Linked DNA regions of Rattus norvegicus. The protein of the gene in region 3 interacts with the protein of the main gene of each other region in a biochemical or structural test. Links are inferred from orthologs where the notes say so. Each region holds a gene or a part of one and is shown on either strand. Other genes may lie near its edges.

Region 1 (5,796 bases), on a different chromosome or scaffold from region 3:
TGGCATCCGTCACATGTCTGTGCTACACTCTTTATTCAACCCCCCCCCCCAGTTGACGAAAACACGGTGCCAACAGGGATGTCCAAAAAATAGGTGGAGGTAGAGTTGGACAGCAAAGGGCTCCCCAGGTCAGTGGGACGTGCACGTGCAAACTTCCCCACACCAGGAGCCTGTAAGTCTGGAACCCCAGCCAGGGTGGGTATCTGTTCTGGGCTTCTAGGCTGGAGGGAGTAAAAGAGGGACAAAGTCTGGCAAGTGCAAACCAAATACTTAATAAACCCAATGCCAGAGTCCCCAGCCCAGACCTTTTATTTCCCTTCCAGATGGCCCAGCAGCTGAACAGCTCTGCGGAATGTCTGTGTGCCCCTCTAGGCTCAGCCTTCCCTTTCAAGAGAGTATGATAATAGATGCTTTCGGACGTGTGTTCAGACACAGCTGTTGGGGGTCCAGAGCCCAGGCAGTGACCACCAAGTGACTAATTTCATTACTTTGGGGCTGCAACGATGAACACAGACAAACCCTGCCTGCTTAGGCTTTTCTCTCCTATGCCTTTATTAGACCCTAATAATGGACCATGATCAAATTAAGTTCCTCTTTCTTCCCTTTTTTCCTGCCTCTTTATCAGCGGCAAAATTCTCCAGGCTTACTCTTACACTAATTGTAAAAGGAAATAACAAGGAGAAGAAACTCAAGTGCAGCACCAACTCCAGAATAAGCAATGCCCTGCTCACCCCCAACCCCCCAATTTTTACCAAAAACATTTCTTCAAGGTACCGTTTGCTGCTCTGCCACAAACTGCCAAATGCCTCCTCCCAACTCAAACAGGACCTCCTCCCTTCAAGCTGCGAACCAGAAGCAATACAGCACCAGCAGGAACAGAGCTGAGGGAGAAAAAAATATAAACCCCTACATGCCACCCAACAGGGAGACTCCACATTCAAATGAGTTTGGAAGAGTGCTCGCTTTGCTAACCCTACTCTAAAATTTAATTGTGCCAAGGGCACCCAGCTAGTATTTATTCTCAACCTAAACAAGCGGTAGGATTTTACTGCCCTGCAGGCTGGTGTGAATCCAGCTTTTGTTACACCTAATAGCAGGTGAATTACCTAATCAGCTAAGGAAAGCCAGCAGCTTTGCACACCAGATCCAGTAACCTATGTTCAACGACTTACAAAACTACAGGAGCCATACACAAAACGAAAAACAAAACAGATTTTTGTGTTTGCTACTTAAGAAAGAAAGCAAGAAAGGAAGGAAGGAAGGAAGGGAGGAAGGAAGGAAGGAAGGAAGGAAGGAAGGAAGAAAGGGAGAAAGAAAGCCTGAAACAACTTTCATTTCTTGAGCTGTATTTACATAAATTAATTTAGGATGGCTGATGTGAGCTCCTAGGGTCTGAGTGGAAAACGTCTGTTCTCACATCTACAGATGATATTTCCCCAACTGTGTTGAGCTATCAGGATATCGACACTTGGAGCACTCCCCATGTGGAGTCATGTGTCTAATTGCTTATACAAATGGCAGTAAAGAAGTGAGCTAATTTCTAATGATGTTTCTCATAATTCCATAACGTTTTAAATGATCTTACTTGTAAATACAATCAGATAAATGTATCTTTCATTGTGAGGTTCAGTGAGCCTGCCCCACAAGACTTTGGCCAATAGATGTGAGATCAATAGCCAGAATTCAAACTGCATTATTTATTGGCTTACAAATGAGCTGGCATTTATAAAAGTAGCTATCTAAAAGGCTTGGACTGTCTGAATCGCTCTGCGATGTAACTGTCAAGCCTCTATCAGGGTAAGACTTATAAAATGTATTTTCATTATCAACCCAAAATGGAAGCCTCAAGACTGGTAAAATGTTAGTTTGGAAAGTCATTTACAGTGACATTTAAAACAATTTATGTGAACAACATTTGACTCATGATAAGAACACTGACTATTAAATTAAGATTGGCTGTTCAGGATTCTGTGGAGCCCTAGCCTTGTCCTGTGAGTTAACATCTTCTGATATGAAGGGCCACTACATATCTAAAATGAAAGGGGAATAAGAAAGAAAGAACTTGTGACATTCTCAGCGAGCACCCATTAAAATGGCTGGATCATGACATTTCAACAAGAGGGCCACATAGAGGGTGGCTTCCTCTTCCTTGCCCCAGCATCTGTACGTTGGCAATCCATTTGCTTTCTCAACACCACAGCTCAGAATGCTTCCCTCTAAAACATCAGAGAGCCTTGAAAGTAGGCAGGTTGCCAATACCTCCTGCCCAGATCACCTCCCTATGAACACCAACCACAGCCGAAGAGACGGCACGAACTCCTCTTCCAGCCAGTCCGTGATATTACTGATGAGTGTTTCACAACTTCTTTCAATTCCACAGCAAGACATACTAATATTCCAGGTCAGCCTCTAATAGCCAGCGCTCACCATAACAGAAGACCCTAGAATAAGCTACATCGGCACCAGGAAAGTATTTCCTTGGGGGTTCGTTAAGCCTTGGGGAGCATGCAAATACTTAAATTTATGCCAAGATGATAAATGAGAGCGAGCCCAACTGAGAAATAGTTCATGGTCCCAAGAGCCTAGCTCAGGTGCTATGAGATTAATTGGGATGAGCACCCTGTGAGCTACCGTGGCAGTCATGTACACAACCACAGTCTGTTTTGGTTGAGTTGTAACGCCAGGAAAGGGTCTGTCCCAGGTAAGGGACGATGAGACCGTGTCATAATAAAGTTGTCTGGAGATACGATCCGTGGCAGTGCACGATTCCAGCTCCCCTTTCGTTTGCGCCTTCAGGGCTGAGGCTAGGAGCATCATCCTTTCCAATCTCTCTCGAATTCACAGAGCTCTAAGCGGAGGCTGGTTTCCATCAGCGTTGTCTTTTTAGGGGAAGTGGGGGTGGTACTGCAGTTCAGACCTGAGTCTTGGATACTTCTCTCCCACCTACACTCTCTCCTCACTTCATTCCACACTCCTCTGCTCTGGAGATCGCAGTTTTTTTCCAGAGCAACTGTCAAGATGTATTGCCACCCTTTCCTGCTAGCTGCACCCAGAAGTCTCTACCTGCACGGATCCTACGCACCTTCTAAAATCTCCACTTTTAGGACTCCAAGCAGCTCTGCGCTCCCAAGAGGTTCAGATCCGCACCCAGGGGCTTCCCACGCAGGCTTCCCCTTCAGCTTCTGGATCTCGGGGCTGCCTGGGTGGCCTCGACCCACAGAACAAGAACCCTTTCTGCTAGCTCCGGCTCCTGCCCGCGGCTAGAGCGAGGCACAGTAGCAGCTTTCAGCTCCGGGCGCCTCAGGTCTGGGAGGCGGAGGTGTGGCGGGAGGGCGGGCCAGCCCAGGTTCCTAGCAACCCGAGCGGCGTCCCCACTCCACCTGTCCACCCGCGGGTCGCAGAGCTCACTCGCCAGACCCGTGGTCCGGCCCCGCCGACCTCGCCTACCTTCCTTCGGCCTCTGGGGAGCGCCCACGCCGGCCGCCTCCGGAGCTCTGCAAGGAAAGGGCGCTTTGTTAGGGCCCCGCGAGCGCCGCGACACCGAGCAGCCCGCGCCGCCGATCCGGGCACGCGTCCTTCCAGAGGACGCGACTAGGGACCCGCGCCGGCGTCATTTCCATATGTAAGGGGCCAGCACTTACAAAAGCGCGCCGGCGCATCCTCCGCCCCCGCCGTCGCCCCTCCCCCCCCGCCGCCGCCACCCGCTGGCGACAGAGCCCCTCCGGGGCCGCCACCGCGTGCTGGACCGGGATCTGCGGGCTTGCGCCGCTCAGGGCGCTCGGGGTGCCTCGTAGACGGCGCATTGGCAGCCGAGGCCTCTTCGCTCTCCCAGGCCGCGTGACCCCCGTGGCTCCCCAGCTTGTAGCTTACCGCGTCCTGGGGTTTAGGCGCCCCGCGCCACCGCACAGACCATGACCGCGGGACTCTCAGGCTTGGCCCGGCGGCACGGGACGGCCGCGCCCAGCGCGCTCGCTCCCGGCTCAGCCGCTGCCACCCGGAGATCGGGCCGCGGGGGAGGAAGAGCCTGGCCGCGCAGGGAGGAGTCAAGGGGACGCCGGCCAGGGCGCGGCTCCTCCTCCCGCCGCAGCCGAGGGAGGAGCGGGTAGCCGCAGAGAGTCGGCGGGTGCGAGCCCCCGCCAGAGAGATTTGAATTTGGGAACGCCCTGGCTCGGCGTGATCGTCCTGCACCCAGAGGTCGCCTCGGCTCACCAGCGGTCCCTTGCCCACCACCTCCGTTTCCTCTCAGAGGCACCTAGCACCTGGCGCTTGGCACAGGACCCACAACGTTTCTGAAGAGTGAAGACCCCAGCTTGATTGACCTTAAGTGGAGGTTTGGGTACCTCTGTCACCTGCAGGTCACCCTGGTTTTCCCAGCTCTAGAGAACCCTTTGAAAGTCATGGGAAAGGGCCCGGAAGAGCAGTGGACCCTATAGAGCATTGAGCGCTCTGGACGTTCCACCTTTTCTAGAAGCCTCGTTCTCATAGGTGCCTTGCCCCGTGTATAAACTTCAGAGGGTGCAGTTAACCCTCTGTGACAGCCGCACAAAGCAGAATGTCATTGGAATTGGTGGTCCTTCTGCCATCAAGGTTGGTGGGTGGGTCCCCATCCTGCCTTTGTCTCCCAAGCCTCCTCTACATGCTACCCTCACTAAAAAAGGTGCTAACAAAATCTCAGTGCTCTCCCCTTCCCTATGCTTCCTAAAACCAAGTAGTCAAACAGGATCTCAAATCCAGGCTAGAGGTGGAGGGAGCTATGGGCCCCGAGGCAACATCTTTGCAGGATCCATGCGTAGTCCTTGTGGAAGGAAGGATCTGTCTTGATTTATTATATCCATAAGTTATTTCCACAAGAACCTGGACAAAGTCCTCTTGCCACCGAGAGTTGTAGGCGACAGAAAGGAAACTGGCAAGTTCAGGCTCCTGAAGCCAACAGATGTGACCTCTCGGTGACAATCTCCCTGAGGAGGTGGACACCATAGCGTTTCGAAAGCAGGAAGCTGGAAGGCCCGGAAGCCAGAGCATCACACAGAAAGCCCTTCACAGACTAAGATTCAGAAGAACATCGCATATGTGTCAAAACTGCCTAGAATGTAGTGCTCGCAAAGCAGAACTAGTGAAAGAGATTTTCCTGGGGACCCCAGCCGACCCAGGCCTGGTTTATTATTTTCTGCTTGTACTGTGCTATAGTTCTGCAGAGTGAGAAAACCAAATAAAACATGTAGAGGGTCTCTCCATATTGTTTCTTACAACTTACGGGAATCCAGTTATCTCAAAATATCAAATATCAAAGCCAGTTATTTTTAAAAAAAAAAAATCCAAACCTTTCTCCAATACAGAGCATCTGGGAGAATAAGAAAGAGGCATTTTTCCTTCTAGCTCCCCTTCTAGCACACAGAAACGTACAAACTGTAAGCACAGCTACTCAGTATCACACCATTCATCAACCCTCTACCAGGATACTCACAGAGATGTCATGAACAAGAGAATGACGATCGGTGGGCACTCAAACCACCGACAGCCTCTGAGGGGAAGGGTGAGGAAGCAGCTTCCTTGTGCTGCCTAGATTCGGCCATGTCAGATCCGCCATGCTGGTTCTCCCTCCGTGCGCTTCTTTAACCACCAAGAATCCTTGAGGATGAGATGGTGGTTCGAAGCCGTGATCCTCGGGCAAGGGATGTTGGATGCAATTTCACTACTTGTGGAGGAAGCACAGATTGCTAGGGATGGTGTAACTAGAAAAACACAAAACTGATTTTTTGAAAGGATGGGAAGGGTGGAGTTAGTGCTGGGATTGCC
Region 2 (5,796 bases), on a different chromosome or scaffold from region 3:
CTGATTGGAGACCCTTTGCCGTTGGACTCTGTTCTGGAGACCCTGGGGTCTAACCTACAGCCCCTCAGCCTAACAGATGGTTCTCTGGTACCCATCAGGGAGCTCAGCCCTAGAGGGGTAGTGACCCCATTGTGCAGGGGTTGGGAGCCTTTCAAGGGGTATTACTACTCAGGTTTTAACCCCAGGAAAGACAACAACACATTGCCATAAAGTTTCAGTTATTTTCTAAGTCAGTGCAATTATTTATTTTAGGCCTTTTCCGGGACAGAAAGGAACCTGGGGGGAGGGGGAGTGCTGTTAAGAAAGACTGGTAGCTGCAGGTTAGAATGCTAGGGAAAGTTTGACTGAATCGAGGTATGGGTGGGAAAAGTACCAAATGAAGGATGAGGTTGGAGGGTGGCTAAAGTCCTTCCAGCCCCACTTACTCACCGTGGTAGTGGCGACACTTCAGTCTAAGCTCGGTAGAGATCGAAAGCCCGGTGGCTGGGGCTGCCCCACTCTGAGTGAGGGGGCGCCGGGGGGGCCGAGGGGGCCGGAGGCCGGGACGAGTGCAATATTGGCAGGGGAAAGAACAACACTGCACCGCGTCCCGTCCCTCCTGCCCACCCGGGGCTCTGGAATCCCGCTCCCTACCTCCTGGGTCGCTGGAGCCCAGGGACAGGAGTGCTCTGGGGAGTTTGGGTCACCTTAGAGGTGCACCAGAGCCTGGACACCCAGGAGAGTGAGGTGGCGAGAGGGAAAGGATGAGGAGGGAAGGGGAGCTTCTGGTGCCCCGGAAGGCCACTTTCCAACGCCAAAGCTGTGCGCGCCCTTGCTCTTTAAATACTCAGACTGAGAGGCGCGGAGCCATTGCCATGGTGACTGGTGTCCCAGCAACCGAATTGAATGGCTGTTGCCTGGCAATCCTGGGAGTTGGGGTTTGGTGCCGCCCACCTAAATACTTGTGGGCGAGCTGACGTAGGGCGTCCCCACTCCGCCTGGAGCTGGCCTGACAAAGCCGCTCACAGGCGGGACACACGGCGGGAGCGTGGGACCCACGCCTCCGTTCATGCACCTCCGAAATGTTTTTAAAGTATTAGTTTCGGTTTTGTATTGGTTGGAACTAAGAACTGTTTGCCTACTACAGTTGTAACTGCTCCTGCTGGTTTACACCGCAACCTACGCTTGCGGGATCTGGCCTGGTATCCTCAGTCCGAGTGCTGCTGTGAACCCAAACCCAACTATTTCTGCCCTTCAGAATACCTCTCGGTTCTCCCTAAACACACACACACACACACACACACACACACACACACACACACACACACGGGTTTGCCTTGTTCCACGTGCTTGTTCACCCAAACCCAACTATTTCTGCCCGTCAGAATACCTCTCGGTTCTCCCTAAACACACACACACACACACACACACACACACACACACACACACACACACACACACACACACACACACACGGGTTTGCCTTGTTCCACGTGCTTGTTCGCCCCAAATATTGTTCCTCTTCCAGATACATCTCGAAGTTCCCAAGTTCCACGATCGCCCCACCTACTCTTTGCCTCCTGAATATCTAGCTACCTGTACATAACCTGTCCCGTCCCCCTTTGCCAATTCAGTGTCATCACACAACTCGATACCCCCTTCCACATACCTTGGGGCTCCAACCACTTATCCCCTGTCCCCAAACACCATCCCCAGAAGTCAGAGTAACCCAAGTAATGATCCCTGCTTCTTCCCGACACTGTGCATTTTTATCTGTCGAAGGCGTTGATTCTTTCCGCCAAGACACAACTAACTTCCCTAAGATATGTGCCTCAACTTGGGCTGTGCTTCCAAAACCTCCCTACACAGAAGCAACCCTTCAGCCTGTGCGAGTACGCCGCGCGACGCTCGCGGTGACCACTAGAGGGCAGGCGTTTCCGGGTAGAAGGACTGGTCAGCCTGCCACTCAAGGTGGAGGGTTGAGTAGGAAGGACCTTAGGCTTCAGTGGAGCCTGGAGTTTCGTCCTTTTTAAGTGGAAATTTCCCCCATCGCCTTTCTCCGGAGAAAGTCAAAGAGAGACCCAGGCTACTGGAAAGTCTGGCAGGGGCGGGGACTGTGGTTTTCAGAGTACAGGGAGCGGTTAGAAGGGTGGGGCTGTTCCGGGAAGTGGCGGGGGGGGGGGGCGCTAAAACTAGCGACCTGTCCACTATTATCCCCCTTATGTCCTCTCAACTTATGAGAAGTGGTTTTTAAGGATCCTCAGAGAGAATAGGAAAAGGGATCGGGGAGGGGGAGCGGGAAACGGGCTTCCCTTGTTGTCCAGGGTCTTTCTGTGTTTCCCTTACTCTTCTTGGCTGTTGCTCTGGGACTAAAACCAGAGCCAGGGCCCCCAGATTTCCTCCACATACACACCTGGGGTACTCAAAGAGTGGTTGGTAAAAGTGGGAGGCCAAATGGAGAATAAACAGGTTGTCATATGGTTGAGTGATTGGAGCCCAAGTACCCTACACAGGAATGACTGGGGAGGAGGAGGAAAGAATAGGGGAGGGGGTGGAGTTTTGTTACCTGTCACCTGCTCTGACTGTGCCTAGGGCGGGAGGGGGACTGGTATAAAGCAGCAGGCACCAGCCCTGTTCCAGCGCACACACGCAGCGCCAGCCTTGAGTCTGTTTCTACCCCTTTCCCGCCTGTTCACCACCACCATGACCCCGGGCATACGGGTTCCTCTCCTCCTGCTGCTACTTCTAGCAAGCCTAAAAGGTGAGAGGTACAAGGTGGGGAGGGGCTGCACTGTTCAGGTGGGACTCAGTCTTTCTGGCACAATGAGAGTCATAAGTGGCCATCCACTCAGGGATGGCCCAGTATGTGCCGGAGGGAAAGAGGCTAAGGAAGGAGGCTGAGAAGAGGTGACTCCCCCAAGAGAGTGGGCACCAGAGTAGGCAAATGCTCTTCGTGGGGAGTAGAGAAGAGAGGCTGCGTCAGGAGAAGCAGCTCCAGCTCCGGAGTGGAAGAATGGGGCCGTGTGGTTCCAGTCTACAATTCCCACACTCAGGACACTCGGGTTCACAGAGAGTTCAAGGCCAGCCTAGGGTACAGTATGAATACCTGTCTCAGAGATAAGCAGTAGAGGAGTGAATGAGCCAGAAGCAGAGGTGAGACCTTTGAGGAGGGAGGCTGTCAGGAAGGATGAAGGCAAACGTAGGACTACCTGATGTTAACCTGACCCCCCTTCCTTCCGGGGTTACTTTGGTTTCGGAGTTTATATTTTTCTTCTTGCTCTGATTTTATTCATTAACCCAGTAGGTTTCCCCCCCCCCTTTTTTTTTTAAACTCTGGCTCTAGCCAGAACTAAAACATCACACATGCTATCTAAAGCAACCCAGTGTCCAACTCTGTTGATTGGTGCTGTGAGCATGAAACCCCCTCATCTTCCACTCTGGCTCAGGTTTTCCTGCCCTTCCAAGTCAGAAAAATAGTGTCACCTTATCTCAGGACACCAGCAGTTTCCTTAACATCGACTATCACTCCAGTCCGCAGTGGTGCCTCCTCCTCAACCACCAGCCTTCCAGGGGACTCCTTCAGCACTGCAGTCCCCAGTGGTGCCTCTTCCTCAGCCACCAGCCCTCCAGTGGACTCCACCACCTCTCCAGTTCATAGTAGCACCTCGTTCCCAGCCACCAGCCCTCCAGGAGACTCCACCAGCACTGCAGTCCTCAGTGGTGACTCAGATCCAGCCACCAGCCCTCCAGGGGACTCCTCCAGCACTGCAGTCCCCAATGGTGCCTCTTCCTCAGCCACCAGCCCTCCAGTGGACTCCACCACCTCCCCAGTTCATAGTAGCACCTCGTTCCCAGCCACCAGCTCTCCAGGGGACTCCACCAGCACTGCAGTCACCAGTGGCACCTCTTCCTCAGCCACCAGCCCTCCAGAGGACTCCTCCAGCACTGCAGTCACCAGTGGCACCTCGTCCCCAGCCACCAGCCCTCCAGGGGACTCCTCCAGCACTGCAGTCACCAGTGGCACCTCGTCCCCAGCCACCAGCCCTATATTGGACTCCTCCAGCACTGCAGTCCTCAGTGGCACCTCGTCCCCAGCCACCAGCCCTCCAGAGGACTCCACCAGCACTGCAGTCACCAGTGGCACCTCGTCCCCAGCCACCAGCCCTCCAGAGGACTCCACCAGCACTGCAGTCACCAGTGGCACCTCGTCCCCAGCCACCAGCCCTATATTGGACTCCTCCAGCACTGCAATCCACAGTGGCACCTCGTCCCCAGCCACCAGCCCTCCAGGGGACTCCTCCAGCACTGCAGTCCTCAGCGGTGCTTCCACCCAAACCACCAAGGCTGTATCAGACTTAGCTAGCACTCCAACCCACAATGGCATCATGGTCCCAACTACCTGGTCTGCATTGAGCTCAGCCACCAGTCCGGTGTACAGTGGTTCCTCAGCTACAACTAATAGCTCTGAATCAGACATGGCCACCACTCCAGTGTACAGTGGCACCCCATTCTCTTCTACCACGGCTACGTCAGCTATCACCCCAGACCACAATGGCTCCTTGGTGCGAACTACCAGTTCTGTGTTGGGCTTAGCCACCAGTCCAGCCCATGATACCTCTGCGGTGGCCACAACTCCAGTCCGCAATGACACTCAGTCTTCAGTTCCAAGTCAGCAGCCCATCTCTCCCACCATCCCCGCCATCTCCAGCCACAGTACTGTTAGCAGCAGCTCTTACTACAGCACAGCGGTCTTCCCTACCTTCTCCAGTAACAGCTCACCCCAGTTGTCTGTCGGGGTCTCCTTCTTCTCGTTGTCTTTTTACATTCGGAACCACCCATTTAATTCTTCCCTGGAAGACCCCAGCTCCCGCTACTACCAAGAACTGAAGAGGAACATTTCCGGATTGGTGGGTATCAGCCTGGTCTCGGCCATGCTGCCCTGATATAGCTCTTCGGGACCACACGAATCTTTTACATCAAACCCGAGTCTTCTCCTCCTATCCCAGTTTCTGCAGGTTTTTAACGGAGACTTTCTGGGGGTCTCTACTATCAAGTTCAGGTATAATTCTGGATTTGCCCTGTGGGAGGGATGGACAGTCCCGCAACTTTGTGATGTCCGGGATGGGGGTGTGGCGGGTGGGGTGGGGATGCTGAGCTATAAGCAGAGAGTCGATCTGAGCCCCCTATTTCCTGCGACCAGGTCAGGCTCGGTGGTGGTAGCATCGACTGTGATTTTCCGGGAGGGCACTTTCAGTGCCTCTGAAGTGAAGTCACAGCTCGTACAACATAAGAAGGAGGCAGCTGACTATAATCTGACTATCTCGGAAGTCAATGGTGAGGTGACAGCCCCAGCTGCACCCTGGCACCACCTGTTTACCTTTGGTGCTGGGAGTGGGAAATCCACCTCCTTTGGGGACTTCCCTGACCACTGTTTTCCCTTCTAGTGAATGAGATGCAGTTCCCTTCCTCTGCCCAGTCTTGGCCTGGGGTACCAGGTTGGGGCATTGCCCTGCTGGTACTGGTCTGTATTTTGGTGGCTTTGGTCATCGTCTATCTCATTGCCCTGGTAAGTCTCAGTCCTTCTGCGGTGTCACCCCTGGTAAATGAATCCCATTGGCCAAGACAATCCCCTGTCTCCCCAGGCATTGTGCCAGTGCCGCAGAAAGAGCTATGGGCAGCTGGACCTCTTTCCAACCCGGGACACCTACCATCCTATGAGTGAATATCCTACCTACCACACTCACGGACGCTATGTGCCCCCTGCCACTACCAAACGTAGCCCCTATGAAGAGGTAAAGTATGTCCCGCAGGTTGGGG
Region 3 (5,796 bases):
AGAGATCCAAGTCCCTCTGCCTCCAGAGTGCTGATCAAAAGCCGTGTGCCACCACTGCCCAGCCTCACCATAAGCATCTGACAAAATGTTAACCAAAATCACCGTGCACTCACTCTATTTTGAGTAAAAGGTGTTATTCAACAGTAGAATCTGTGTATATGTTAATATTCATTTAATCTCCATAAATCTGGATGTGAATAAAAATTGATTTCATTACAGCAAGGAAAAAGTGTTTGAGAGGCTAGAGAGATGGCTCAGTGGTTAACAGCATGGACTACAATTCCCAGCAACCACATGGCAGTTCACAGTTGTCTGTAACTCCAAGATCCAGCACCCACACAGAGAGAAATACAGGTAACACATTAATGCACACAAAATAAAAATAAATTAAAATAAAAAATATTTGAAATATACTTATTTAATAATGCCTCAACAGAAAAAAATGTTAACAATCAACTTTTAATTAAATCTTAAAGGTATTATTTTACAGGCAAATTTTACCTAAGAAGCATTACTTATGAAAAATACATTTAAGAATGACCCAAAGATTAAGACTATATAAAATGACTAGTGGTGGAAGGCACTTTCATCCCAGCATTTGGGAGGCAGAAGCAAGTGGGTATCTGTTAATTCAAGGCTAGGCAGGTCTACATAGCAAGTAAGTACCAGAACAGCCAGGGCTACACAGAGAAAAACCCTGTCTCAAAACAAAACAAAATATGTGTTTAAGTATAACCTCTAGTTACTGTCCTCAAATACAACCTGGCATTTCTAGGTGAGGATTAGAAATTAACAGACTAGAAAGTTAAGCTCTGCTAGTAACCGACCGCCAGACACTTATTGTATGCCATTTTTAAAAACTGAACTCATCCGCCCTCTCGTCTCAGCATTTTCTCAATTTCCCATTACAATGAACAATGTAACCCAGCGGTCAAGTCTTCCAGACCAATAACCTCAGACTTTATTTTTAACTCCTGACTCCACAAATATTCTCCTTCAGTCCAATCCAAAGCCCTGCCAGCTTTTCCCTCATGAGTCCTCAAATCTCTTCCTTTCATCCCATGTTCACATTTCACTGTGATCTCTAACATAGTCTACTATCTCCCAAAAGGCTTCTAATGTCTCTCCCTTCAGCTATCCAAATCCCTTCAGAACGTCTTGTTCAGCAATGCACAGTTAGTGCAGACAGATAGCTCCTAGATCCCCACCCGAACCTACAGGCCTTTTCTGCCCTTTATTAACTTACTTTCCTCTAAGCCTCAGCTCCCACGTCCCGGTTCTCCCGTGTAGGCTGGGGTAATTGAGATATACCACCTTACCTCCCATACAGAACAGACTGGCTGGGCCTGCCTTCTACCCAGTGCACTGCTTGTGTCTCCACAGGCTCATGGACTTAGCCAGCACCTGTTTTAAGAAGCACCTCTGCGGAAACCTCCCTGCTCCTTCCTCATCACCCTTTTCCTGTGTCCCTCTGAACAAATGGTTCACTTGGCGTTTTATAATACTGCGGTTATCAGGCTTATCGCCTTCGCCCTTTTCTGAATGTGTATGCCTTTACATCAGAGGCTCTGGGAACAAGGACTTAATGTCATACATGCCTTTTTGAACACCAGCACCCTAACAAATTCCTCTTTCATCTATGTGTCCTTAATATCAAGGTTATTTTTAAAAAAAAAATAGTAATAATTAGCATCTTTTTAATGTTGACTGATATGGTAAATATAAAATTAAAACACTTTAAACTATATTCCTCTGGGATTTCCTCCACCCTAAAGAAACTCTATCAAGGCTAAGTTGTTTTCAAAGAAAATCCTGGAAACAAGAAGAGAAATTCCCAACTTTGGTATTTTAGTCTGGCATTACAGATCTCTGAAATAAACCTCATAAATGGTCTAAAATTGACTGGGTTTTTTTTTTTTTTAAACTAGTCAAAGCACAAATACTGAAGTACCATGAAAGGCTCTTCAGTAGTTACCATGAAGTCTACTTCATCATCACTGAAAATGACCCTAGCATTTTTTAAAATTCCTTTCAAATGACTCCATAAAGTGCTTAGAAAGCATGACCCTTCCCTGAAAGATGTGAAATCAGCTTCCCTCTTAACATGCCCTGCGTTCTAAATTGGCTAGTCACTCACTGAAGGAAAGAAAAAAGTTAACTTGCAAAAATCTCTCCCACTCAGCTATCGCTCTGGATACAACTTTGGACTTCTCTGTTCCAGACAAGGTCCAAAAGCCTACAGAACTGCAATCCTGCATGCAGCTGGAGGATTCCTCACTCCCAGTTGCTTAATCAATTGCACATAACAATCCTGCGTGCAACTGGAGGATTCCTCACTCCCAGTTGCTTAATCAATTGCACATAACAGCACATGCATTTTAACTTTTTAAAAATCTTAGTTCTTCAGTTACAGCAGCTCCTCTCAGCCACAAAACAGTTTTATCTATCTCCTCCCTCTTCTTTCTCAAGGAATAAGGAAAATACCATAGATATTTTGGCCAGAATCTGCAACTATGTTCTAATAAGCTGTCATGAAATACCACATAAACATCTCCACAAATAGATACATTTGAACACTGGATACTCGGTATACCAAACACTTCAAGAACACAGACTTTTTTTTTTTTTCAGCACAGATTCCCCAGCAAAAGACTGACAGATACTCATAGATACATTTTAAATCAGCCTAAAAAGGTATCCACTTGTACTCTTTAAAAAAAAAATTAACAAGTAATAAATGCAACACCACTTCAAAATTAAACTTAAATGACAGTCAGTGACAACACTTAACTTAGTATTTGGCAATATGGCAATACAACCTCAATCAAAAGTTGAATCTCCAAGTTACCTTTTGATTACACAAATTATATGGTGGCAGATTGGTAATGTCAAAACAGGAAGGTTAAGAGATAACACATTAAACCACTTAAAAATTAAAAACAATGCACTCAGAGATGCATCTGCTGCGGGATATTTCTCAGCTCCCACCAGCCCGGAGAAGAGTGAGGGATGGATACTAGCTCGCCTCCAACGGGAATGTGGGTTACCAAGCAAGTTCCTCCCCAGATTCAAAAATACTTTGTGTAGTCACACAGGCAAAAAGGAAATATTAGGAGGCTGGGGCATTTAGTATCTCTATTTAGAATGCAGACCCGTGATAACCTGAGCTAACTAAAATAAACCCCCTCATTCCAGAAGACACGGACTCGGCAAATGTACATCATGGTTTATTAATCAAGCGTTGTCCTCTTTATTCAAAGGGATGGGCAAGCGAAAGCTTCCACCGCTTAACCCGGAGGCACTGGGGCACTTGAAAAGACTGACTACCAACAGCACGGAGAACGTAAGAAAATAAGTTTCGAATCCAATCAGCCAAATAAAACTAATATTCTCTCAATTCAAGGTTAATGAGGCTGGGGGAGGGGGGTATGGGTATGGGAGGAGAAAAAGGAGCTGCCTCATCTTGAGTCAAGACAGGTTTTGCCCTTTTCCACTACCACTGGCTGACTGACTGTTCTATCAGGTCTGTTAGTTTAGATCCTGGTATTTCGAGGTTTCTTATCTTAATGGTGAGGTGGAGAAAGGGTGTAAAATAAAATCGATACTCACTGCTAACTTTCATGCTACCAAAAGCTGAAGGCTGCTGCACTGGCTTGCAGCTCTCCGCAAAGGAGGTGGTTCTCGGTCGCCCCGACATGATGGCTCTTCTCGATTCACCTTTTCCTTCCTTAATCCTTTTCTTCCTTTTGTTTTATGTTAGGGTACTAGGTTAATAATAAATGCAGCATTAAGTTCTCCCGCAAGAAAAAAAAAAAAAAGACTTCGTTCTCTTGGCCTTTCACTCCTTTTGTATAGCTATTTAAGAAGAAAAAAAAAAGGAGCTATGTATTTCTTCAAGACAGATCGGTACGGATATTTAACACATAGATGATTTAGAGCTGGGGGGAAAATATAATTCTTTCACCTCCCTTTCCTGGGAGAGGAGAAAAAGGGTGGAGTGGAATCCTTAAAAAATATATATATATCACGTGAACGAGGGCAAATACTTGATTGAAAATAAGTACTCTGAGTATTATATTTTCCTCGGGGATTTTTTTCCGAGTCAATGAAGAAGGGAAGCGGCGGAAGGATCACGAGCCTCACGCTTGAAGAGAAGGGGGATGGGAAGGAGGGAGGAGATGGCTCGGAGATGCGACGGCAAACGCTGCGGCTCCGGCAGCAGAGGGATCCGGCGGTCTGACGGCGGCGGCGGCCGGGTGAATCGGAGGGCAGCGCAGTCGCGAGTCAGTGGCGGGCGGTGGCGGCGGCGGCTCCTCTCCTCATTGCGCCAGGAGCAGCTGCAGGCGGTGGCTGGATCCAGCGGCCATGGCGGCAGCGGCGGCGGAGGCAGCTCCCTTCAGACCCCAGGCAGCGGCTCCCTGACTGCTCCCCATACGCCGGGGACATGGGAACCAGGCAACCGCTTCCGTCCCTCGGGGTCCCCTCCCCCGTCCGCGGCCCCGGCACGGCCGGCCTCCGCCCCTCGCCTCTGCTGAGCGGCTGCTCGGGAAGTGTCCGCGCTGTGCCCCGAGCCCGAAGCCCTGTCAGCGGCTGCAGGGACGGCTCCTCCTCGCTGCCTTCCTTCCTTTGTCACTCGGCCCAGGCGGCGGCGACGGCGGCGACACAAGCCCGCATTCGGCCGGGTCGGGGGCTGCTCTGTGCGAGGCGCGCCGTCTGCGCAGTCGCCTAGCCCTTCCCCACTCCCCCCTCCCCCTTCCTACTCGTCCTCCGCCTCCTTCCTCCCCCACCCAGCCTTACACCGCCCAGCGCCCCGCCGCCCGCGTAACAGGCGTCTGGGAATCGCTCGCCGAGCCCGCGCCCGCCAGCTTCGGCTGTGGAGCCGAAACCTAAGCTGGAACCAATCAAAGACGTCGTTTGCTTGCAGCTCCGGCCGGAAAAAGCCGAGCGGCCTAAATAACCAATGAGGAGACGCCGCTGGGAGACCACGCCCCGGCAACGAGGAATGCCGAAGGTAGCCGAAAAGAGGGAAAGAGGGTTCGCCTTGTTCTGTGGCTGGCTGGAGAAAAGATTCGACAATAGCGACAGTGGCCAATCGGAGCTCTAGGCCCGCAGGGGGAAGCCTGAAGAGTTAAGGACAGCGAAACTCCCGAGTCGCGGGAGGAACTACTCGGCTGGGCACCGCGCCCGTTTCCTCATTGGCTGGACAACTCCACCGGGCGTGTTCTTTTCTCAGTGATTGGTGAAGGGAAGGGGGCTTCCGAGGACATCTGGCCAGTCAGAGCCTCCCCTCCCTCTTTGAGGCGGGGAGAAGACGAAAGCGGAGGGAGTGCATCTATAAAGTGCCATCTCATTGGTCTGCAGCATCGGAGCTGTAGCGCGGGGGAGGGGAGCCGCAAAAGGGAGAAGGAGGGTGTAGGAGCCCGTGGCGGCGGCCAATGGGCGACCACTGCTGTGTAATCGCAAGACCTAGCTGCAGTGGGATTGGCCTCGGGTGGTCCCTAGAGCGGGCGGACCGGCTGAGTGGTCGGCCTGCGTCTGCTCTCCGACCCGACGCTCGTGCTGGCTGTGCAGCCGGTCTGAAAATGCTGGCGGTCGGAGGGCCGAGCCGCGAGCGCTCTAGTGGGACGAGAGGTTGTCCCCATTCCCGGGAGCTCCGCGGGGCGCAGCTTACCGAGTGCGCCCGAGGCTCCCCACCGCGCGAGCTAAGGATATGGGAACGTCTTCCCTGAAAGACGTAGGCACTCAAATGGAAACAAAGCTTCCAGAGAGGGAGCGCCTCTGGGCAGCCGCGCCCGC

Evidence for each region.
Region 1: of the proteins of Gsk3b (region 3) and Nin, one has a biochemical effect on the other in vitro, tested with the Homo sapiens proteins (2 studies listed by BioGRID and IntAct). The link is inferred for Rattus norvegicus from reciprocal best matches to the Homo sapiens genes GSK3B and NIN.
Region 2: the proteins of Gsk3b (region 3) and Muc1 form a complex in vitro, tested with the Homo sapiens proteins (2 studies listed by BioGRID). The link is inferred for Rattus norvegicus from reciprocal best matches to the Homo sapiens genes GSK3B and MUC1.

Annotation. Positions count from the first base shown.
Region 1 is NC_086024.1:94,359,632-94,365,427, forward strand, and holds the start of Nin (ninein), read right to left. Parts: upstream 3,980-5,796; 5' UTR 3,871-3,979; intron 3,495-3,870; 5' UTR 3,448-3,494; exon of another isoform or gene 3,083-3,447; intron 1-3,082. UniProt on the Homo sapiens protein: Centrosomal protein required in the positioning and anchorage of the microtubule minus-end in epithelial cells. May also act as a centrosome maturation factor.
Region 2 is NC_086020.1:176,931,129-176,936,924, forward strand, and holds the start of Muc1 (mucin-1 precursor), read left to right. Parts: upstream 1-2,621; 5' UTR 2,622-2,682; coding exon 2,683-2,740; intron 2,741-3,510; coding exon 3,511-4,886; intron 4,887-4,985; coding exon 4,986-5,038; intron 5,039-5,179; coding exon 5,180-5,313; intron 5,314-5,423; coding exon 5,424-5,545; intron 5,546-5,621; coding exon 5,622-5,771; coding exon of another isoform or gene 5,772-5,796. UniProt on the Homo sapiens protein: The alpha subunit has cell adhesive properties. Can act both as an adhesion and an anti-adhesion protein. May provide a protective layer on epithelial cells against bacterial and enzyme attack.
Region 3 is NC_086029.1:76,149,414-76,155,209, forward strand, and holds the start of Gsk3b (glycogen synthase kinase-3 beta), read right to left. Parts: upstream 3,837-5,796; 5' UTR 3,698-3,836; coding exon 3,610-3,697; intron 1-3,609. UniProt on the Homo sapiens protein: Constitutively active protein kinase that acts as a negative regulator in the hormonal control of glucose homeostasis, Wnt signaling and regulation of transcription factors and microtubules, by phosphorylating and inactivating glycogen synthase (GYS1 or GYS2), EIF2B, CTNNB1/beta-catenin, APC, AXIN1, DPYSL2/CRMP2, JUN, NFATC1/NFATC, MAPT/TAU and MACF1.